Sus scrofa: one gene and its partners. The protein of the gene in region 2 interacts with the protein of the main gene of each other region in a biochemical or structural test. Links are inferred from orthologs where the notes say so. Each region holds a gene or a part of one and is shown on either strand. Other genes may lie near its edges.

The links.
Region 1: the proteins of SLC9A3R1 (region 2) and PTEN form a complex in vitro, tested with the Homo sapiens proteins (3 studies listed by BioGRID and IntAct). The link is inferred for Sus scrofa from reciprocal best matches to the Homo sapiens genes NHERF1 and PTEN.
Region 3: the proteins of SLC9A3R1 (region 2) and ADRB2 form a complex in vitro, tested with the Homo sapiens proteins (3 studies listed by BioGRID and IntAct, with this or other methods). The link is inferred for Sus scrofa from reciprocal best matches to the Homo sapiens genes NHERF1 and ADRB2.
Region 4: the proteins of SLC9A3R1 (region 2) and EZR form a complex in vitro, tested with the Homo sapiens proteins (2 studies listed by BioGRID and IntAct). The link is inferred for Sus scrofa from reciprocal best matches to the Homo sapiens genes NHERF1 and EZR.
Region 5: the proteins of SLC9A3R1 (region 2) and TBC1D10A form a complex in vitro, tested with the Homo sapiens proteins (2 studies listed by BioGRID and IntAct). The link is inferred for Sus scrofa from reciprocal best matches to the Homo sapiens genes NHERF1 and TBC1D10A.
Region 6: the proteins of SLC9A3R1 (region 2) and ABCC4 form a complex in vitro, tested with the Homo sapiens proteins (3 studies listed by BioGRID and IntAct, with this or other methods). The link is inferred for Sus scrofa from reciprocal best matches to the Homo sapiens genes NHERF1 and ABCC4.

What each region holds. Positions count from the first base shown.
Region 1 is NC_010456.5:99,928,197-99,932,389, reverse strand, and holds the start of PTEN (phosphatidylinositol 3,4,5-trisphosphate 3-phosphatase and dual-specificity protein phosphatase PTEN), read right to left. Parts: upstream 2,801-4,193; 5' UTR 2,097-2,800; coding exon 2,018-2,096; intron 1-2,017. UniProt on the Homo sapiens protein: Dual-specificity protein phosphatase, dephosphorylating tyrosine-, serine- and threonine-phosphorylated proteins.
Region 2 is NC_010454.4:6,480,740-6,484,679, forward strand, and holds the start of SLC9A3R1 (Na(+)/H(+) exchange regulatory cofactor NHE-RF1), read right to left. Parts: upstream 2,801-3,940; 5' UTR 2,600-2,800; coding exon 2,138-2,599; intron 1-2,137. UniProt on the Homo sapiens protein: Scaffold protein that connects plasma membrane proteins with members of the ezrin/moesin/radixin family and thereby helps to link them to the actin cytoskeleton and to regulate their surface expression. Necessary for recycling of internalized ADRB2.
Region 3 is NC_010444.4:150,031,423-150,035,448, reverse strand, and holds the start of ADRB2 (beta-2 adrenergic receptor), read right to left. Parts: upstream 2,801-4,026; 5' UTR 2,142-2,800; intron 1,887-2,141; 5' UTR 1,654-1,886; coding exon 397-1,653; 3' UTR 1-396. UniProt on the Homo sapiens protein: Beta-adrenergic receptors mediate the catecholamine-induced activation of adenylate cyclase through the action of G proteins. The beta-2-adrenergic receptor binds epinephrine with an approximately 30-fold greater affinity than it does norepinephrine.
Region 4 is NC_010443.5:8,448,362-8,450,805, forward strand, and holds part of EZR (ezrin), read left to right. Parts: intron 1-322; coding exon 323-486; intron 487-689; coding exon 690-820; intron 821-1,430; coding exon 1,431-1,591; intron 1,592-1,847; coding exon 1,848-1,940; intron 1,941-2,444. UniProt on the Homo sapiens protein: Probably involved in connections of major cytoskeletal structures to the plasma membrane. In epithelial cells, required for the formation of microvilli and membrane ruffles on the apical pole. Along with PLEKHG6, required for normal macropinocytosis.
Region 5 is NC_010456.5:47,298,741-47,302,900, forward strand, and holds the start of TBC1D10A (TBC1 domain family member 10A), read right to left. Parts: upstream 2,801-4,160; 5' UTR 2,713-2,800; coding exon 2,504-2,712; intron 1-2,503.
Region 6 is NC_010453.5:64,307,032-64,311,080, forward strand, and holds the start of ABCC4 (multidrug resistance-associated protein 4), read right to left. Parts: upstream 2,801-4,049; 5' UTR 2,242-2,800; coding exon 2,168-2,241; intron 1-2,167. UniProt on the Homo sapiens protein: ATP-dependent transporter of the ATP-binding cassette (ABC) family that actively extrudes physiological compounds and xenobiotics from cells.

The DNA of each region.
Region 1 (4,193 bases), on a different chromosome or scaffold from region 2:
TAAACAGCATTCTGGAAAATTTTTTGAATGGAGGCTTATTTTAAAAAGTTAAACAGTTAATTAATGTGTTCCTATATATTCAGATGACTGTCAGTTTACGCCAACAGTAGACTATTTTTGAAGTAAGTTACAAATCAGAAGAGTTTTTCCGTAATTAACTTCTGGGTAAGCGGGTCAAGTTCAGTCTCAGTAAAGTTTTCAATTAATGCAACTTTAAAATTTCCAAATATTCTTTTTAAACATTCTTTTTTAACTTAACAGAAAACGGTTACCTTGTGTGCGTGGTAAAGCTATTTCTTCAGTAATTTTATCTTCATTTCAAAACAAATACTTCGAGTAAATTAGCTGTGCACACTATGTGCACATACATAACCCGAAGGAATAAAATCTCTCCAGATATACAACGTTTGATTCAAAAAAACTCCCCCACAATTTTTAGCTGTACATATATAAACACTTTAGTCTCACTTTACCTTTAGGAGAGATGTTTACTGACAGTTGCTAAGAAACCACTTTTATTAAAGAATATTAACACTTATAAAACTACATAGTTTTAACTAAATATTGTCAACTAGTAAAATTCATACCACCAAATTTCTTATCTTAATAGAGGCTTAAAAAAATGCTTCAGTCACCTCAGACCAGTAACTTAATCCTGTCTCATGTCTATACACTGGCCTTTCGTAACTCTCAATTTCTGATACTTTTCATTCTGCAAAAAAGGGCTCCATTCCCATCCTTGATCAAAGCCAGCTTATTATACCTGAAACTGCAAAGATTAATGCCTTTTGATAACCAGCATCTTTTGAAGTACAAGGGCCTGTTAGACAACCAATACTATACACTATTGAAATTCTTGGGTTTCTATCTTATTCAACAAGCTGACTCAGTAAATTTAAGACACCGTATGGAAAAAGCGGAACACACCTACAATCTGAAGCTGGAGTAATCCACTCTTGCCAGTCTGATTATTAGCTGATAAATTGTACTTGACATTCTACACAAGTCAGAGTAAGATTAACGGATACCCAAAGGTGTCAGAGGACATGATACCTAAATAAGGTGAGCAGCAATTCTGGCATCACAATAATACTTAAATTTCAAGTGAAACTGAAGTTTAATCTCTGCAATCACCATTTGCTACACACTATACCCTTCAACCTATACAACCTTATCATCTGGGATCAAAAACCACTCAATCTCCATTCTACTACTTGTCACAAGAGCACTGAATATAAAATGCTACTGAATTGCAAATTTCATATCCTATCCCATATCACCCCAATGGGGGGAGGGGAGCAAATTTAACAAAGATCTAATAAGAACGATTTATGAGATATACCACGGCACTATTGATTTCAAGCTACAAAACTTCCACATGCAGTTCAAAGTTGTAATTAACTTTGTTTTAACACACAAACCTACTTTTGCCTTCAAATGAGCACCATATATGCTAAAATGATTCTCTCTAAAGTTATGCAAATCAGTTCACAACTCACATTTTAAAAGAATCTATCAATGCAACCCAGGAAACTCAAAACAATCACTGCAAGATTCTGATGCAATATGCGTACGTGCAACACTAATTTTCATTTTAATCTGATCTATACCCTTGATCTAGGGCCTAAAGCCAAGATTTAATCGAAATATGCTCAACCTCAAAGCATCTACTTTTCTGTTCATTTAATAGACCGGATTACCGAGCTCACTAATCCACTAACACTGTACTGTATTCTGTATTAACGGACAATAGCCCTTAGGAAGAGACCCCGTAGACAGACTAAGAAACCCATGGGCGCCTTGACACTTGCAACCAAGCAAGAGTTCTGTCTAGATGAACACACCCTAGGCTGAATGCATTCAAAAGCAGCACAAAATATACATGATCTAGAAATCTGATTAGGGTTAAATGTTATAGTCACCCAAACTATGGACATTTTTCGCATCCGTCTACTCCCACGTTATAAGAGCGAGTGACAGAAAAGCAAAGAGGAGCAGCAGCCACAGAAATGGATACAGGTCAAGTCTAAGTCGAATCCATCCTCTTGATATCTCCTTTTGTTTCTGCTAACGATCTCTTTGATGATGGCTGTCATGTCTGGGAGTCTGTGGCTGAAGAAAAAGGAGGAGAGAGATGGCAGAAGCTGCTGGTGGCGGGGCTTCTTCTGCAGGATGGAAATGGCTCTGGACTTGGCGGTAGCTGATGCCCCTCGCTCTGCTGCCGCTTGGCTCTGGACCGCAGCCGGGTAATGGCTGCTGCGGCGGCTGCTGGATGGTTGCAGCGACTGGGCCTGCTTCTCCTCAGCAGCCAGAGATCTGGCAGCGGCGGCAGCGGAATGGGGAGAAGACGAATAATCCTCGGAAAGGCTGCCTCCTCCGGCGGCCTCTGGAGCCCGGGCCAGGGGGGGTGCGGCGGCGGCGGAGGGGAGGTTTAAAACCGGCCCGGGTCCCTGGATGTGCCGCCGCCGCCGCCGCCGTGTTGGAGGCAGTAAGAGGGGAGAGACCAACTCTCCGGCGTTCCCAGCCCTGGAAATGATGACAGGCGACTCCGACCCCCTCCCCGGAGCTGCAGCCGCCGCCGCCGCCGCCGCCGCCGCTTCTCCCCCCCGCTCCAGGAGCGGGAGGTGCCGCCGCCGCTCCTCAGCCGGCTCCCGCCCGAGCCCACGGCTTCCACCGTCCCTTTCAGAAGAAGCCGAGGAAGAGGCTGCACGGTTAGAAAAGAGGACGAAGAGGAGGCGAGAAACGCCGCCGCTGCCGCCGCCGCCGGCCGGCCGGCTCCCCGAGGGCGCTGCCCCCGCGGCTGCTCACAGGCGTTGAGAGGGGCTCTGGGCCGCGGCCGCCGCCGTCTCTCATCTCCTTCGCCTGAGCCCGGTCTCGCCTCACAGCGGCCCAACTCTCAAACTTCCATCATGGCTGCAGCTTCCGAGAGGAGAGAACTGAGCGCAGCCGCGTCCCGGCTCCGAACGGGTATCCTGCCGCAGTGCACAAAGAGTCCCGCCACATCACCGCCCGCCAGCCTGCCCGCCCCCTCCGCCGCCGCGCTAGGGGCAGGGGCGCCTGGGAGCCCGAGGGGAGGCGGGAGGCGGGAGGCGGGCCGGACCGCGCCAGGGGAGAGACGCGCAGGGCAGGGCTGGGGTTTTAGGGAGGGGGCAGAAGCGGCAGCTCTGGTGCGAGCGCCGAGTCCCCAACCTGCTGGCGCCACTGAGCATGCCCAGTATGACTGCCCGGGGCTCGCTCGGGCTTGTTCCGAGGCCCCCTCCTGAAGCTGCACTTGCTGCGGCTGCTTCTGCAGCAACGCAGGGTGGGGGGACGAGCTGAACCATAGCCTGTGCCCAGCAACGCAACCCGAGGCAGAATAGGCTGTTGCGAGCGAGACAGGGGGGTTAAGGTGAAGGCTGAGGCAGGTTCTTTGAGCAGTGTCACTGACGCGAGTCTGAGGTTACCTGTGCACAGGTGGGAAAGACCAGGTGACTGCGCTGGTAGTGTACCGGGAAGCGCAAGGATGGTCCCTACAGCGAGGACACCTCTCCCCTTGCCCCCAGATTTCCCTGGCACGGCCTGCAACCCCCCGTCCTTTTGCACCGCTGTCGGATCACAATCGTTCGCAGGGATTTGACTGCAGCAGCCTCTGCCAAAAAATCCACCTATCCCCCACCCCCACCCGTGTCCTCAAGGTGTCAGTCTTAATACAAAGAATCCCCTATTGTGTCTCTAGTGTGTATCACCTCATCCGGCTCCCTTGCATCGCCCCACCTCCCGCTTCCCCGGCAACCTGGTTCATTTGCCCTAAAATTGAAAGGTCCAGCAGAGCGTGCTGAATATGAACACATCGCCCCTGAATTTCTAGATCCCAAAGGACAAATGTCCAGGTGAAATGAAAGCTGATACCCGACGCTGGGATGCACCCCAGCCCCCTGGAGAGCAGAGAGCATCTCTCCCCTCGGGGTTCCAGTAGGGTTCACCGCGTCGAACTGAGCCAAAGACTCCTCGCCCCGCCCCCTTTTGGGCCGCTGTGAAAACCTGGCTGGCTGGATCGCCCCGGGGCCCGGTTCCGCGCTCCACCACCCGGGCGGAGACTCGGGTTGCTGGGCCGGAGAGTGAAGTACGCGACGGTAGGAAGCTGCAGCCCCGGCGAGTGGGCGGAGCCGAGGAGACCGAGGAGGGTTCAAAAAGAGGTGGAGGGATATACGGGC
Region 2 (3,940 bases):
TTGAGGAACAATGTTTGATGTCTATTAATACATTTTTTTTTTCAAAGGCAGGGTGGGTCACCTGCATGCTCCCACGCCAGGAACTTCCTACCAGAGGGATCAACGCTGCTGAGCAGCTCTGCAGAGGCTGAGGGACCCCCAGCTCACTCACTCAGAGCTGGGATTCAAACGCTTGGGCGTAAAAGGAGCTCTGTCCAGCACCCACTAGGGGCTCAAGTACTTCCCATTATTTGGAAAATTCTAGAGAAGGCAGGTGACACTGGAAACCAACACCCCCATTCTATAGATGGGAGAACCATGGCACAGAGAAGTTCTGACTTGCTTGGTGACCTGAAACCCCAAGAGGCCTGGTGACGATGTCGCTGGGGACTGGCTGGGGGTCTCACTCCCTTCTAGGGGCCCCACAGAGCACACACACAAATGCAGGGAATCTGATTCTGTGCTCACCCAGAGAGCTGCCTTTCCAGAAGGCCTGATGGGGGGTGCACGTGCTAGGCCAGGCCTCTATTCTAGCTCTTTGTCCTCTACCTCCCCGCAGGCCCTCCCGCACCCAGCAGCGAAACCAAAAGGGCACTGGGAGGAGCCGAACATGACCGCAACCTGGGGGGGGCGGGTTGCTTGTGAAAGTGCCAAAGTCCAAAAAAAAAAAAAAAAGAAAACAAAAAAACGGAATGGCAAATTGATGCACTCAGCACAAAGTTCAAACTGGATTTCTGCCTGGGACCAGAGGTCGTGAGTTCCAGTTCCCTGGTGTCAAACCCCACCAGGGGTGCTCTGACCCTGCCCCAACCCTTGCCGATGCCAGCTGGGCAGTGGCAGGAAGTAGGAGCCTGGCGGCCCTGGCACCCAGTGTTGTCCGGACAGGGCTCCAGGTGACCTCACTTCCACCAAACCAGTTGGTTTTCTCAGGCTCCACCTTCTACCTTAAAGGCTGAACTGTGCCCTTTCTCTGTCAAGGGAGGCTTGTACTGGCACCAGGGACACCCCCGCCAGCAGGTGGAGAGCTGGTACAAGCCAAATGGGCCCTGGGGAGGTCCAGGCCCTGCTCCCCAGTTTTGCCGCGAGGCCTTCCCCGTCACTCTCAGGGGACAGGAGGATCAGGGCAAGTCCTGTTTTCCCTCTGCCCCCAACCCCTGCAACTAATCCAAACTGGACTCATTAAACACCAAACATGGGCAAAAAAACAACCAGCTTGCTTGCTGTCTGGGGACTGGAGTAACACAGCTGATGCCAGGGCAAGGGCACCTGCCTGTGGTGACATGCTGGCTGCTATTACGGTCCAATGACCCTGGACCACTCCCCCCCCTTCCCCCAGCCATTTCTCCTCCTCCAAGGTCTTCCCTCCTGCTCCCAGATACAAGCCAGCGCTTACTCCTCACATTCCTGAGAATCATAAATCCTCCTGGGTGACAGAGCCGCCACCCACTCCCACCAGACGCCTCTGCACCTCCTCCCCGCACGCACCCCACCCCCACACATCATCTGCGGTGGTGGAGCGTCTCCTTTTTAGAAGTCACACCAGACTCTAGGAGGAGGATGAAGTCCAGCCAGGCTGCAGTTAATGATCCACGCGCCAGCGGGCTATGGGGAATGGGGGAAGTGACAGGAGAACGCAGTCGGTAACCCCTCTCCTCCCATCGGGGCGCCACACGGAGAGGGGGTAGTTATTCCTTTAGTTCTTGGAAGTCAGGGCTGCTCTCACTTCAGCCCAGCTTCATTCACCACCCTCAGGGGCGGCGAAGGCAGCTGGTCAGTCCGGCGGGCCTGAGGTGGGACTGGGGGTCCCAAGGGACGGGAGCAGACGCCACCAACAGAGTGCGGAAAAGGGGACTGGGCTCCCTTGCGCCGCCCTCTCTGACTCCTACTCCCACAGGCCAAGGGACAAGAGGTGCAAGTGGCCAAGACGCTCGGGGTCCCAGCCCAGTCTGGGGAGAGGAGTAGGGGTCGTGAGTCGCAGCCTCAAGCCTGCAACTGCCAATTCGCCCGATCCGCGGGCGGAAGCAGTCTCCCCCTTGAGGATCGAGTTTCAGAAAGACAAGGCGGGAGCAGGGCCGGGCGTCCGGGGCGCCTGGGTCTCCCCACTCTTCCCCCTCCCATTCGGTTCCAGCCTCGCCTCCCGGCCCGGGCCCACGCTTACTGGCTCCTGACGGCTCTTCTCCGCCTCGTGCGGCTCCGGAGTGGCGGCCGGCGGCTCATTTTCGCTGTCAGCCCCCTGCGCCTCGGTGGCGGCCGGCGGCTCGGCCTGCCCGGGCCCTTCTTGGGCGCGTAGCATCTCCTCCCGGACCTGGACGCCCAACTTCTGCAGCCGCTCGTCGGTCTCGGGGTCGACCACCAGCAGTCGCACGGCGTTAAGTGCGGCCCGGATGCGGCTCACCACCTGCTGGTGGGTCTCCTTCTCCACGTTCTCGCCGTTCACCTCCACTAGCCGGTCCCCGGCCAGCAGTCCCGACTTTTCGGCCGGCGAGCCGGGCTCCACCAGCCGGATGAACTGGCCTACCTTGCCCTTTTCCCCGTGCAAGTGGAAGCCGTAGCCGTTCGGACCCTTCTCCAGGCAGCAGAGCCGGGGCAAGGGTGCCCCGGCCGCCGAGTCCGCGCTCATCTCGCCTTCAGCGGCGCGAAGCAGAGTTCGGAGACGGGATGGTCCAACCCTTTTCCCTACCCTGCGGGCGGGGGTGGCGAGAACGACAGCGGAGGGGAAACCTGGCGCCGCGGGACCTGAGAGAGAGCAGGTGTCCCGGGAGCCGGGGCGGCGAAATGCTGGGAGCAGAGTTCGCAACGTTCAGACCAATCCCCGCCCCGCGCGGCGTCTGAGAGTTCCAGAACCCGACCCGGCCCCTTATTTCGGGGGCGGGGCCGCGCAGAGGGTGTGGACCACCGAGGGCCAATCAGAGGCCACGAACTGGGGCCGCTCTGGCCGGGTGAACAACACCGGCCAATGGGAGTGCGCAGGGGCGGGACTCTGCGCTCTGTGAGACGCCCCGCGGCGGGAGAAGAAAGAGAGCTCAGGAAGTGGAAGTGTTTGTTACCAAGTGGCTGGAGTTGAGGCGCGAGCGGGGAGGCGGGGGCACAAGGAGGCGGGAGCGAGTTCCTGTACTGGGCAGAGCGGCCTGCAGGATCTGCTCTGATTTCCTCCCACCTGTGTCGGGGGTTGAGCAGAGCCACCCCGTGGGTAAAGGAGACTAACGTTTGGACAGACTTTAGCTAAAATGTGCAGCTGCCGTTGGAGGTGGGAGTAGGGGCAACTGTTGCCAGGAACACCCGCTCCCGTCCGGAGACCCCACGAATAAGACCTAGGTCCACCTCGGACCCGACAGAGTGGTTTGAATAATGGTATTTTCCCGTTTGCAGGGTCACTGTGCGCTGTCCCAGGACCTGCTGGATCCTCGCGGGGACAATGTGAGGGCTCAGCAGAGAGGAGAGAGCTGCCTGTCGAAAACAGGACACCTAGGGCAATGGTGTGGCATTGGCGTCAGCCTTTGCCTAGGGAGGTGGGGGCGGGGAGAGGCAGAACACAGGTAACCAATTTCGGGGTGCAGTCCACAGGAAAAGGAGTCTTGGCTTTTTTCATCCGAGAAAGAAAAATGATGAGGACTGAAAGGGAGACCTTTCAATTCTTTCTTTCAGATGAGAGGCTGGGTCTGTTAAGGGTGAGGTGACCAGCTGGGGACATTGAAGGATGAGGATCAAATGATTTTGGCAGTCAGTGATAAGCAACAACAATGCTTTCAGCATGATCTCCGCGCCCCCTCCCCCACACACACATTATGTGCACCGCAGAAAGCAGCGGACAGGGTGTACTTTCCAAAATACTGTAGTTTAATTCTGGAATACACAAATGCTAAAGGCCCGGAGCAGCCTAGGTGATTGGATTGTCTGCGACCTGCCTTGTGCCCCAGAAGATCCCCTGCAAGGTCAGGCTCCTCCCTGCTCTGCCTGGGAG
Region 3 (4,026 bases), on a different chromosome or scaffold from region 2:
CGAGAGACTCAAGATCCTCCAGTCCAAGGGTGCAGGAAGGAAGGTCTCCTTCAGAAACAAATTGCCAGCAGCAATATATTACCCCTAATACTTGATCAATGAGGTAGATATGCGGAAAAGTCATCAAAACATACCAGCCCCACGTCCTCTGGGACCGAAGGCCTGCAGACATAAACTTACACAAGTTCCATGCAAAGAGGAACTGAACTGTACAAGAAACAATCACTCAAATAATGTTTTCTCTTTTTTACAACTTAAAAAAATAAAAAATAAAAAGGCAGAAGGATGTTCCTCCTCCTGCACATCTCTATAGACGTTCATTCTAAATTCATCACACTCGAGTTGTTTAGTGTTTGGCTGGGAGGGAAAGGGGCGCTTAGAAAGTAGACACCTGCATCACAGCATGGAGTCATTTGTACTACAGTTCCTCCCCTGTGAATCAGTGCTATCATCGGGCACAGTACCTTGCCGGTGTGCACAGCCTTCCGGGCCTGGGGGCTCCTCACACAGCCGTTCGCTGTCTTTCTCCTCCCCCAGGTAACAGCCACTCTGTTCCCCTGTGTAGTCAGTCCTACCGTTGCTGTTGCTGGAGCAGCCGTTCCCATAGGCCTTCAGGGAAGACCTGTGCAGGCACAGAAGCTCCTGGAAGGCCATCCTGAAATCTGGACTCCGGCAGTAGATGAGGGGGTTGAACGCCGAGTTGACGTAGCCCACCCAGTTTAGCAGGATGTAAACTTCCTTGGGGATGAGGTTGTCATGGATCCCGTGCACAATGTTGACGATGAAGAAGGGCAGCCAGCACAGGGTGAACGTCCCCATGATGATCCCTAGCGTCTTGAGGGCTTTGTGTTCCTTCAAGCAGAACTTGGAGGACCTCCGATGTCCCGGCCCGCTCCGCCCATCCTGCTCCGCTTGGCTGAGGTTCTGGGCGTGGAAGCGGCCCTCAGACTTGTCGATCTTCTGGAGCTGCCTTCTGGCTACTTGAAAGACCCTGGAGTAGACGAAGACCATGACTACCAGGGGCAGGTAGAAGGACACGATGGAAGAGGCGATGGCGTAAGGCTGGTTGGTGAAGAAGTCGCAGCAGGCCTCCTCTGCATAGCAGTTTAAGGCTTCCCGGTGGGTGGCCTGGTACCAGTGCATCTTAATGGGTAAGAAGGAGATAAGGCCCGACACGACCCACACCATCAGAATGACCACCCGGGCCTTGTTCTTGGTCAGCAGGCACTGGTACTTGAAGGGGGACGTGATGGCAAGGTAGCGATCCACGGCGATCACGCACAGGGTCTCAATGCTGGCCGTGACGCACAGCACGTCAATGGAAATCCAAAACTCGCACCAGAAACTGCCGAAAGTCCACATTTTCATGAGGATGTGGCTGGCCCCAAAGGGCACCACCGCCAGGCCCATGACCAAGTCAGCACAGGCCAGGGAGGTGATGAAGTAGTTGGTGACCGTCTGGAGACGCTCGAACTTGGCGATGGCTGTGATGACCAGCACGTTTCCAAACACGATGGCCAGGACAATGAGCGACATGACGATGGCCATGCCCACCACCCATGCCTCGTTCCGCTCCTGTGGGACGTCCTGGTCCGGCGCATGGCTTCCGTTGGGCGCCAGCAAGAAGACGCTGCGGTTCCCGGGCTGCCCCATGGCGCGCAGGCGGGCAGGTGAGCGCGCTGGCAGCCGGCGCACCCGCCGCGCCTCAGCGGGCCGACCTCCGGCGGGGGGCTGCGGGCAGCGAGCGGGCGCCTAGAAGCCTCATTCAGCGGCCGTGGGGTGGGTGTGGAGGGGGCGCGTGGTGCACTCAGCTCCCGGGGTGCTCGAGGCTCGCAGTGCCGGCGGGTCTCTGCCTGCGCTCCGGAGAAGCCGCCTCGGAGTGCGCGCTGCCCGTTATGTGCACAGGACTTGAGGGGAACTGCCCTCCCCGTGACGTGCTCCAACTTGGGACCAATGGCGCGCGGGAAGCCCCAAAGGGGCGAGGCCCCCCCCCCCCCCCCCGCCCCTTCCCTCCCTCTCCCGCCTCCTCCTGGGGCTGGCCCGGGCGGGGCCCCGCTGCTCCCTGCCGGCCGGTCGCCACTCCCTCCAGGCTACCCAGGCTGGCCCCAGGGCTGAAGCTGAAGTTGGGGGGTGCCGCTTACCAGCGAGCTGGGAGCTGCGCAGTCTTCTGTGGCTGCTACCTGCCTGCCCGGGCTTGTCGTGAGGCCTGAGGACCCTGGGCAGAGGGTAGTGCGCAGGCACTCCCTCCTATTCGGAAATAGACGAGAATGAGAGTGCCCGCCAGGACACGCACGGACAGGCACAATTCACCTGGCAGACGTGCACGGACTTAGACGGAGCCACAGCCACCGACACGCAGACACACCCATCCAGCACACCGACAAGCACACGCGCGTGCGCGCACGGACACACACACACACACAAGCAAATCGGCGCAAAGTCAACCTTAACTAACGCAGAGACGTGGTCAGGAACAAACCCAGCAGCACCCAGAACCACAAAGTCATAGGCACACACGAAAAGAAGTAAACAACACACTAAGGGCCACGTGGAGGCAAGCCGGGAGTCACAGCCAAGGACGTCCCCACCCATGTTCTACAAACCCTTCTCCGGCACCCTGGATCTCCGTCCTTTCCTCCCCAGCATGCGGACATTTCGCATATTCCCTTTCAAACATTTGGCGAGACCTCAGGAGGTGACTTCAGCAGCTGCCCATTTCCTCAGCTCGCTCGCTGTCAAGGACTTTCGGTGCTCTCCTTGGGAATCTGCAGGCACTGAGACAGGCTTTTACGCTTGGGATTTCATTCAGACCTGGGCTATCCATGCGTGTGTTTGGGGACAGAAAGAGAAAGTTGTATGCTTTAATTTTAATTCTAGTGAGTGTGGCATCACTCCTTCATTATCTGTTCAAGTGAAAATGTACTGAAAATAGAATAATTTTTCTTTGAAGCTCTACTTCATTCATGCCTGGGCAACTAGAAAAATCATCTGCTGGGTAGTTTGGTGATCCGAGCCATATGAAATTGCTGCTATTCTATAATCTCTGCTTCTAAAACATGGCAATTTATTATGGTTCACATTACTAAGAATGTGTAACATTAAAAATGTTTTGAGGCGTTCCCGTCGTGGCGCAGTGGTTAACGAATCCGACTAGGAACCATGAGGTCGCGGGTTCCATCCCTGGCCTTGCTCAGTGGGTTAACGATCCGGTGTTGCCATGAGCTGTGGTGTGGGTCGCAGATGTGGCTCAGATCCAGCGTTGCTGTGGCTCTGGTGTAGGCTGGCAGCTACAGCTCCGATTAGACCCCTAACCTGGGAACCTCCATATGCCGCAGGTGCAGCCCAAGAAATGGCAAAATGACAAAAAAAAAAAAAAAAAAAAAAAAAAAAAAAGGTTTGAAACCACAGAAAGGAAAAGGTATTTTTTCTTAAAAAAGTCAGACCAAGCTTCAGACGAGGTCATTTTCCATGAAATATTAGCCTTTGCATCTGGCATGTGACTTCACTGTTAAAAAGAAATTAATTTTCAGGGTTTGATTTTTACATGTATTAGTAGTGTCTTTGAAGAACTGAAAGTGTTTCACTCAGTGTAACCAAACATATTTTCTAGATTACATAATAACTTAACAATGGCTAACATTTATGAAACATTCTGCTATGTGCTTTTCATGCATTATTCCATTTCATCCTTCCCACAGTCGCCTGGTGGTGTGTGTGCTGGGGTGGGTGGGGCGGATAGTTATTTTTAATTTAATTCACAAAGGGGGCTGGAAGAGGAGAATAGCTTGCCCACAGGCACAGCCTGGCAATGCCAGGCAGGAGCTGAACCCAGTTCTCCCTGATTCTAAAATCTCTTTTTTAATCCTTTCAATGTACTGCTTTACCATGTGCAGAACAGAGTGGAGGGTAGAGAAGGATTACAACTGGAATTGGAATACTGCATTCCAGTTTCTTTCTAGCTCACATTCCTTAGGCAAATCCAAAATCTGGAGCCTAATTTCCTCTATGTCTAAATGTGCAATAAAG
Region 4 (2,444 bases), on a different chromosome or scaffold from region 2:
TGGACCTTTGTCGGAAGGCCAGGCGGCGCTGGCACTGTGGAGGAATTGGGCTGGGGGGAAGCTTGGTGGTCCCGCGTGGGGTTCCCGTGTCTGCGCACAGGCACACCCACAGTGCCCACACTGCTCCTGCTGGTCCTGGAGAGGACGCGACCCTTCGTTTGGGGTCATTGATGACTGTGAAGCCCCCACTGGCCCCCTCCGCGTTGCTGCTTGTTCTCTTAGAAAAGCTATCCAGAACTTTGTGAAGTCAGGTTCAGAAGAAGAAAGCTAGAGAAAGGTGTCTCCGGGCCCGAATCCAAGTCCGCCCTGTTCCGCTCTGCAGGACTTTGTGTTCTATGCCCCCCGCCTGCGGATCAACAAGCGGATCCTGCAGCTCTGCATGGGGAACCACGAGCTGTACATGCGCCGCAGGAAGCCCGACACCATCGAGGTGCAGCAGATGAAGGCCCAGGCCCGGGAGGAGAAGCACCAGAAGCAGCTGGAGCGGTGAGCGGGCTGGGCTGGGCAGAGGCGGCGCCTGAGCTGGGGACAACCAGGGACTGGGGTGCAGCTGCCCCTTGGGGGTGGGGCTGGTGGCGGACTGGCTCCAGGCCAGGGCCACCTGTGGGGTGACCAGGCTGCCACGTAGACACCACGCTCCCCTGTAGAGTCTGAGCCTCCTGTGCTGCTTCTTCCCCTCCCGGAAACAGGCAGCAGTTGGAAACGGAGAAGAAACGGAGGGAAACGGTGGAGAGAGAGAAGGAGCAGATGATGCGCGAGAAGGAGGAGCTGATGCTCAGGCTTCAGGACTATGAGGAGAAGACCAGGAAGGCGGAGAGAGGTGGGCCTGCCCGAGCCTCCCTCCGGTGGGGGGCCTGTGATGGGAGGGCGCACTTGCGGCCAGGGACACACACTGCCGTCGAACACCTCCCCAAAGCAGAGACCTGGCGGGGGGCCTGATGAAGTGCTTGTCTGGATTGGGGAGAACTCTGTGCAGGTTCCGGGCTAAATGCTTACCGCGCATTCTCTTCGTGAGGTTCCCATCAGTTCTGTGGGGTGAGGACCAGGTTAGCACCTTGTTCCTGATGAGGACGGTGAAGTTCAGGGAGGTATAGTCGCACAGTCATGAGCGTCCTGGCTGTGCCACACTGTCCCTCTGTCCCTCAAACCCTCCTGAGCAGGGGTTTCTGAGGCCAGCGGCCCAAGGGTGTGCAGCCAGGCCCTGGGCGGGAGGGGGCCGTTTCGCCACCACGAGGATGGAGCCCACAAGCGCGGGAGAAACCAGCCGCCACGTGTCCCCCTCCATGTCCCCTGCCACTCTGTCCGCTGCTCTGCAGCGTTGGTGTGATTCTTGCTCGTGTCCCAGGCGCCCCTCCCCCCGGGTGGGAATTGAGGGCAAGACGGGGGGGTCCTTGGCTGGAGCCTTGAGCAGCCCCGGCTTGTGCCCTTAGAGCTCTCCGACCAGATCCAGCGGGCGCTGCAGCTGGAGGAGGAGAGGAAGCGCGCGCAGGAGGAGGCCGAGCGCCTGGAGGCCGACCGCGTGGCTGCGCTGCGCGCCAAGGAGGAGCTGGAGAGGCAGGCGGTGGATCAGATAAAGAGCCAGGAGCAGCTGGTAGGAGTCCACAGGGCCTCAGGATGCTGAATTATGGAGAGGCTGCCTCGGGGGGTAGAAAAAGTGACACCTGCTTTATAGTAACGGGTGTCTGGGCTGTAAAGTGATCCTCCTGGGGGCGCAGAGTGGCAGGTGGGAGGGGCTCTGCGTGGGTGACGGACGCTGCTGGCCGTTGACCAGAGCATGTGACCCCTCTTTCACAGGTGCACTGTCGGACGCGTCCTAGAAATAACTTGGGCTTCTGCTCCTTTTCCAGGCCACAGAACTCGCCGAGTACACTGCCAAGATCGCCCTCCTGGAGGAGGCTCGGCGACGCAAGGAGGACGAGGTGGAGGAGTGGCAGCTCCGGGTGAGTGGGGGCGGGGGCGGCGAGGATGAGGCTGGGTCCGCAGGGACAGAGCCACTTGTTGACTCCACCCGAGCTGTTCAGCCCCCCAAACATCCCCCATCAGGAGCTAGCTTTAAACCCCACGGTGTGGGTGCTGCCAGCAATGGCCATAACCCCTGCGGCAAGCCCTCCTGTCACTCCCGGAGGCTGGTCCCCACAACACGGGCACAGGGAGACCTGGCTCTGCCCCTTGCTGTGCGACAGGATGGGCGGCCTCACCTCCGAGCCTCGGTTTCCTGTAAGGACGCCACAGAGGTCGAGTTAACTGTAGCTGTACCGGAACCGTGCTCCTTCCTTGTGGTGTGACGTCTACCCAGCAGCCCCCACGCCAGCAGGGATGCACTGTCCTCAGGGGCTCAGTCAGGCTTGGAGTGGCCAGACTGGGGGCTCCTTTCCCCTGCCCTTTGCCACACTTCCCAGCTGCAGGGGCCCCTTCTGGGAACACCTGGCACCTCGCTCCCATCC
Region 5 (4,160 bases), on a different chromosome or scaffold from region 2:
CACCATCTCTGCTGCAGCCATCAGTGCTAATGTTTCACTTTTCTGGGACAGCACTTGGGCCCCACTAGCCCTCAACCACGAGACTGGATTCAGCACAACCACTCTGAAACTTCTCATAACTTCCCCTCTTATGGCCTTGGGCAGAGACTTACTTTTGACTTTTTTTGAACCACAATATAAACTAAACAGGGAACATCCCAGGCCTTCAGATACCAGAGATTTTAGGTTAGCCAACAGAGTCAAGAAAGTGAGACAGGGAGAGAGGAAGGGACCTGGAATCCCACCTCAGCCCCAGCAGTATAGACACCAAGGATGCAGAGGGTGTCTGCAAAGCCTGGGTTTGTGGTTGGAGGGTGGGGAAGACAGATGTCTGGCTGCTTGGTTGGGGACTACAGCCAAAGGGAGGTCCTCCCCTGGGGCCTTTCTCTTTCTACAAATACCAGAGATACATGCTCACTTTCTCCTCAATTTCCAGATCTTTTGAAGGAAAAGGAAACTAACATTTTTTCTGGGCCACTACTTGAGCCAGGTACTGTGCTAGGCACCTTTGAATACTTTATCTCATTTAATCCCCACAGTAATCTTGGGAGTAGGTGATACTGTTACCCTTTACAGTGAGTAAACATGCTCAGAGATTCAGGATCTTACCCATGGTCACACAGCCAGTAAGTGTGACTTCTTGCTAAATTTGGCCTTTTTCCACTATATCACCCTGCTCTGTACCCTGAGATGTGATTAAGTGCCTGATAAGCATGGTAGGAATTCTTACCTCCCAGAATTCACCAGCAAATCTGAGCTCTTCCCTCCAAGCACCCACAAATGCAACTGTGAACTCCTTTCCCACTTTTTTAGACCTCATCCCTCCCAGGACCCTGAGCCCTTGTATCTGCTCCTCATTTCAAAAATATATTCCAATTCACCTTTGGGTTCTCTCATTCCAATCCCTAGGGAACTGTGACAAAGCTTTGAGTCAGGGTGAGGGATCAGAATAAGGGGTGCTCTCTGAGTCCTGGAATGGACAAGGCTTAGCTTGCTGTGAGTAAATGGAAAGAGGCTGGAGGACACAGTCCAGTGAGTAAAAGAGAACTCTCCTTAGAGGAGGGGAGAGGCCTGCATTTCTCTCTACCTCTCCAAATGAGAAAGAGGCCTGCTGAATATGAGGATTTGGACTAGGGAAAAATCCCAGAAGTGACCTTTATGGGACTGTTTGTGTGGGGTTGAAATCTTACACATGATCAAGGCCCTTCCATAAGTCATAACAGAGGCTGGAGAAGCTTGGGCAGTCACAAATGGTGAGAGAAGGGGAGGAAGGACCCTCTGGAGTAGGGTCATGGCTGAGTCCTGTGGGCTCCCACAAGTGATTGTATGGGGCTCTCTGTTGAAGAGGAGGCCCATTGCAAGGGAGATTTGTCAATTTTGTGCACAACATTGGTCTCATGTGACAGGACAGGAGGATGGGAGTGGGATCAAGAGTCCATCCTTCCTAAAGGGATCACCAACCCATACATATGATCTCTGTGAGGACTAGGCTCAAGGAGTTCTATGTGGCTGCTCAATTTACCCCACTTAAAGGGAAGGTGCTGCTTCCCTGCCCCACATTTCTCTGCCTGCCAGCTGGGTGCCTGGGTACAGGGGATCTGGGTGTGCTAAGAGCCTGGACCCTGCTGTCTCCTGCTGCTGCCCCCCCAACCCCAGTCTGTGTTTGGAGAGGAGGTGCATGTTTCCACACCATCCACAAAGACAGTCTATTCTGAAGATGAGGTACCATCACCTTGTGGGTACTGGAAAGGGGGAGTGTCTGCCCACCTGTTGCTAATGACAGGGAGAAATCTGCCTCTGAGGGGAGAGGGGAACACGCTCTGCTCTGACCCTTCCATGAGGGGAAGGGACTGTCTGTCCCAAAGAAGGAGGGAACTGACAAATATCAGTCTATTCAGAGGTCTGTGTGTCTTGAGGTGAGGGTCAGTCTGTCCTGGAATGTAGTGTGGGCAGAGAAGTCTGTCCCTCTGAAGTCTGCCTAAGGTATACCCCTGATATGAGGGTAGTGGGCTGCTAAAACAAGGGCATCTGCGGGTCGGGGGCGGGGCGGGGGGGCATGGAGAACATCGGCCTGTTGGGGGAAGGGCGGCCACCTGTGAGCCTGCCCAGGGTGGCAAAGTCAATCAACCCTAAGGCGAGGGTGGTAGTGATGGGGTTGGGACAGGTGTCAATCTGTCCGCAGTTGTGAGGAGAGCCCTTCCTGGGGGCGGGTCAGTCTGTCTGGAGGTGCGAGCAGGAGAGGTGAGGTTGGCCTGCGTGTCCCAGGCTCCAAAGTAGGCTCCAGGGTGAAAGCGGGTCAATCCGCCTGGGGGGAGGTGGGGGTGGGGCAAGGGAGATAAGGGTCGCTGGTTCCTGGTTGAGACACGTCGGTCCTTCCTGAGAGCGGCTCGGTCCGCGTCGAGGCCCTCCTCTCAGGTCCCGCGCCCGCCCCCGGCCCCGGGCCCCGGCCCCCAGCCATACTCACGCGCCCTCGGCGCCTTGCGAGCCCACGATGAAGCCGAACTTGTCGATGCGGCGCTCAGCGAAGCCGTTGGCCTCTGAGTCCGAGCCGAGAGAGCTGAGTTCATCGGCCGTTGCGGCGTCGGGGCCCGGGGCCAGGCTCTCTCGGGTCCCCGACAGGCTCCCCCTGGCTGCGGAAGCGCGCGGCCCGTTTTCTCCGCTGCTCTTCGCCATCCCGGCCGCGCCCGCTGCCTCAGCTTCAGCGGCCACCTCAGCCACCTCAGCCGCCTCAGCCGCCCGACTGCCGCCGACGCCCCGCCCACGTGCCGCGCCCATTGGTCGCAGCAAATCCGGGGGCGGGGCCCTAGGCCTTCCCCGGCGTTCCCTCCCCTCCACACCCAATGGGCGCCGTGGACCCCCAGGGCCCGCCCACCTCCCCCAGGCTGGCGCCAACCGGCCCGACGTGAGGGGGCGGGGCAGCCGTCTCCCGAAGCCCTTCCCCCCTGGGCTGCCAATCACGAGAGCTCACCTGAAAGAGCTCCTCTGGCCTTTCCGGGTTAGCCGCGACCCAGCCAGTCACCTGCAGCGCGGTGCCAGCTGAGGCCGAAGTCGTCCGTTGGGAATTCCGCATCTGCCTTCCAAGCACCCCCCACCCCCGCGAGACCCCAGGGACGTGAGTGAGGATTGCTTCACCCATTCGAGAAGCTCCGAGGAGACCCGCGGTGGTTCTGGGATTCTCCCAGCGACTCTCAGCGACTTAAAACCTAGGCCGAGCTGAAGTTCAGCAGTCCCCCACCCCAACTGCTTCTGGGGCTTTAAGTTAGGGAGACTGGGAGTTCCCTGATTAAGGATCTGGCGGGTTAAGGAACTGGCGTTGTCGCTGCTGTAGCGATCCCTGGCCCAGGAAATTTTGTTTGCCGCGGCCAGACCAAAAACAAACAAACAAACAAACAAACAAAAAAATAGGGAGACCTAGTTAATAAGAATAATGACCATTGTCTATTGAGCCACTCACTGCCCCAAGTTCTACCTACTATCTTTTGTAATTTGTATTTTTCCATCAGCCTTGAGAAAAATCACCTGTTTAAAGAGTATAATTCAATGTTTTAAGCATATTTATAAAGCTGTGCAACCATCACCATAATCTAACTTTAGAACATTTTCATCACCCCAAAAAGAAATTCCTATCCAGGGGTTTCTGTCTTGGCTCACCAGTTAACAAACTCAACTAGGATCCATGAGGATTTTATCCCTGGCCTCCTTCAGTGGGTTAAGGGATATCAACTCACAGAGTCATAATGATAGCTCCTCACTTAAGTACAGGTGAGCTGTGGTAAAGACTGCACACACGGCTCGAATTCTGCATTGCTGTGACCTATGCTGGCAGCTGTAACTCCAATTCAATCCCTAGCCTGGGAACTTCCATATGCCATGGGTTAGACATAAAGCAATTCCTATCCATTAGCAGTCAGTCACTCCCCATCCTTCCTCCCCCACTCCCTGGCAACTGCTAATTGTCTCCAAAGTTCTGTTTTTTTCTGGACATTTCATATAAATGAAATCATATGTATGTGGGCTTTGTGTCTGGCTTCTATCACCCCACATGTTTTCAAGAGTCATCCATGTTGTAGTATGTATCAATTCTTCATTCCTTTTCAAAGCCAAAAACTATTCCATTGTAT
Region 6 (4,049 bases), on a different chromosome or scaffold from region 2:
ATGAAAGATTGCATAAATTACCATTAAATACCCGGTTTTAAACATAAATAAACACTAACCATAAAAAATTAAGGATTCAAGATTCAAAACTATTTAGTTTTATAGAAACGATGTGTGAGCAGAAGAGTGCATAAAGATTTCTAGGGAAAAGACTGAAAAACAACCAAAATAGCATCAAATGTACTTGGCTAACAGAAATAAATCCTTGGGGAGTTCCTGTTGCAGCTCAGTGGTAGCGAAACCGACTAGTATCCATGAGGACCTGGGCTTGATCCCTGGCCTTGCTCAGTGGGTTAAGGATCTAGCATGGCCAGGAGCTGTGGTGTAGGTCGCAGATGCGGCTCGGATCTGGGGTTGCTGTGGCTGTGGTGTATGTAGGTCGCTGACACAGCTTGGATCCCATGTTGCTGTGGCTGCGGTGTAGGCTGGCAGCTGCAGCTGCAAGTCAGCCCCCTAGTCTGGGAACCTCCATAGGCTGAGAATGCGGCCCTTAAAAAAAAAATTGCTCCTGCTGCTGCAGTAGGAAAACTGGACACAGGTGCCTAACAAAATCAGACAAGTCCTCACCTATCCCATTTACAGACACATACATTTTGAAAATCCACAAACAGAAGATGCTCTGAGAATTCCTTGCCCTGCCAGAAGTTACAGTAACCACACCCATAAGCCTAGGCTCTACTTTACTCAAGGGCCACCAAATGGCCAAGAGATGTAGCTACACACACTGAATACACCTCCAGCAAAACAAGCTTCCAACCCTTGGGGACCCTCTGCTAGGCCGGCCCATTAAAAAGGAAATTATCAGAGTATGGATTAGGGGCCAGAAACAAAAGATCTCATAATGACCCAAGTGTGATTAAAGGCCAAAGGTTCAGGCCCACCTAGTTAAGTAGTCCTAGCTACTAGATAAAAACTTTTAGTTAAAGCTTCACCAGAGTTCAGTAGCGGCTCAGCGATTAACATCCAAGAGGTTGCTGGTTCAATCCCTGGCCTTGCTCAGTGGGTTACGGATCTGGCATTGCGGTGAGCTGTGGTGTAGGTCGAAGAAACAGCTCAGATCCCGAATTGCTGTGGCTCTGGCATAGGCCTGAGGCTACAGCTTCTACTGGACCCCTAGCCTGGGAACCTCCATGTGCCGCAGGTGCGACCCTAAAAAAAAGGAAAAGAACTTCACCTCTGTAAGCTGTTTTTCATCAGGGTTTGCTCCCAGCTCAGGACGCTTCAGTGGATTTAGGACCAAATGATTCCTGGGCCGGACCATCAGCACTGTCAGACCATGCACTGCTTCTCTGAAGGCTAGAGACCTGGATAAGACCCCACAGGCCTCAGGGACCCCATCCCCAGAGTGGTCCTCAAAAGGGGAAGTAGAAATATTTGCAATAGGAAAGAGGCTAGCCAAGTTCATTCTCCAGTGCTGGCTGTGCCTCCGGGGCCAAAGCAAAACGTGCCCAAGAGCAGTGTGCCCCAGTAATTAAAAAATAGTGTAGTTTTTTCACCCACATGTAATTTGCCACAACTAGGTACCAAGATAGTGAGAGACGCACACGGAGAGGGAGGGAGCGAGACACAGTCACAAAAACACAGACAGAGGGAGCTCAGTGCAGTTTGGTACGCAGCTGTCATCTAAGAATACAGAAAAAGGTGGGGACATTGGAAGACGGCAACTGGTCCAGGGCACTAAATAGATAAAGGAAGCTGTTCATAAGATGCTTGCTTAGGGGGGAAAGGGTGCAGCTTTAGCTCAGAACTTCGAACTCCTTAGCAATACTGGGGAAGCCGGCTACACAGAGTAGGGAGTGGAGAGGGGGCGCAGCGCGTTCTCCTGCTGGGTGTAGATTCCCACTGGGCAGCCCAGGTTCTCCGCCTCTCCCCCTCCTGCTCCAGCTGCTCCCCCTGCTCCTCCTCCTACGGGCTGGCGAAACAGCGAGAGGAAAGGCAGGGACACCCGGCGGCCCCGCCACCAGGGCCTCCTCCCCCGCCCTGCTCCTCCGCCCCCGCGCGCCCAGGCTCAGGTGGGGACCACGCGACCCGCGTGGGGCCGCCCCATTGTCGGCGGGAAGCCGGGCGGCCTGGGCACCGGCGGGAAGCTCTTGCTCGCCCCAACCCTCTGTTCCCGAAAGGCGCCGGCGCGGCGGCGGCGGTGTCACAGCTCAGGCGGGGCGCTCACCAGAACAACACGCGCGAGCAGACGTTCGCGTCCCGAAGCGGGTTGGGCTTCACCTCCGGGTACACCGGCAGCATCCTGACGGCCAAGACGGGTGCGGGCCGGGGTCGCACAGCTCCCGCGGCGGTGCCGCTCACGCTGCTCCCGGAAGGGTTGGCGGAGATGCTGGACCTCTGGCTGGCCCGGGGGTCCGCCTGCAGGAGCCCAAGAATCACTCGCTTCCGGGAGTGGAACGCCTGCGGCCCGCCTCCCAGGCCGCGCCGCCTCCCGGGTCCGCCTCGGGGCCGCCAGCTACGCGCCGCTGCAGGATCTGCCGGGAGCCGGGTGCAGCGGACGCGTGCGAGCGGCGAGACAAAGGGGTGACTCGGCTGCCGCCGTCCGCAGCTTGGTGAAGGGGCGAGGCGAGGCCGAAGGTGCCGTTGGATGGAAGCGGGTAGACCTACCACGCGACACAGTCTGTCTCCGAGCCGAGACACCCACGTGCTCGCACCTGGCTGCAAGCTCAGCCTCAGTTCTTGCTCCCAGCCCAGGCACCCACCCAGAAGAGGTGGAGAGGGAGAGGCGTGGTATTTGCCCGCCCCTGCAGTTCAGAAACGCCCCCTCGGCTGCAGCTTTCCGAAGACCCAGAGAAGGCCGGCTGTAGGCATTAGCAGTCCGCCCTCTGGGCACCCTGCCCTCCTCACGACCAAACTAGGGTGCTATGGGAGGTTCTCCATCCTGCGGCTAAACATTTGACCTGGGACAACGGCTGGATTTAGCACAGATGTGTTTGTAACGCTGCAAGACCTAAAGATATGTAACAGAGAATTAGAAGAACTCAAAAAATTTTGGAAGACGAATGCACGCTTCCAAAGGGCTTTTGAGATCTCACATTACTGCATGGTGCGGGGGGGACCTCTGTAAGCTTTTTGCTGCCCTTTTAGATTGGGAAAGGGGAATATGGCGAGAGACTGCCTTATGATTTCTTTCATCATGTGCTCAAAACCTAGTGGAGTAACAGTGGTACATTTTATAAAACACCGGTTATAGGCACTTCTGGGGACCTGACTGCACTTTTCACTCTAACGATGCCCTAATAAAGAAGGTATTACTATCCCTGTTTTACAGATGAGAAAGATAAGGCTCAAGGACAGAACTTGTCCAAGGCTTGAAAATCAATAAACAGGAGTTCCTGCTGTGGCACAAGGGTATGGGAGATGTCTCTGTGGCATGTGGACACAGGGTTCATCCCTCCCCTGGCACAGTGGGTTAATGGATCTGGCCACCCAGCTGCAGCTCAGATCTGACCCCTGGCCCAGGAACTCCATATGCTTCGGGCTGGCCAAATAAAAATAACATAAAATAAAATAAAATCAGTAAATAATGAATTCTGATTTGGACCAAGTGAAAGTCCAGCATGGTCTCAACCGGTAGGTGGACAGTGTGCATGAAAAGTGCCTAGAATATGCTGTTTGGATGAATGAATGACTGCAGGTCTGAATGAACCAAATCTTGGGTATCTTCTCTTCCCTTCCACTCTAAATGAAGAAAGCTCAAAGTTCTTTGTGTTTACAATGATAACATCTTTTTTATTCTTTTTGAGTATTTCAATGTACCTTGACTAAAATACTGTTATTACTTTTTTTGCTGTACCCGGTAGCATGTAGAAATTTCCAGTTGGGGACCGAACCTGCACCGTAACAGTGACCTGATCCACAGCACTGACGTTGTCAGGATCCTTAACCCACAGAGACATGTGGAAACTCTTAAAATAGTGTTATTAATAATGGCTTTTTTCATCGAGAACTATGTCTAGATACTTATGTTGCAACAGAAGAAAGGGTGGGGGAAAAACTGTAATTGCAATGTATACATGTAAGGATAACCTGACCCCCTTGCTGTACAG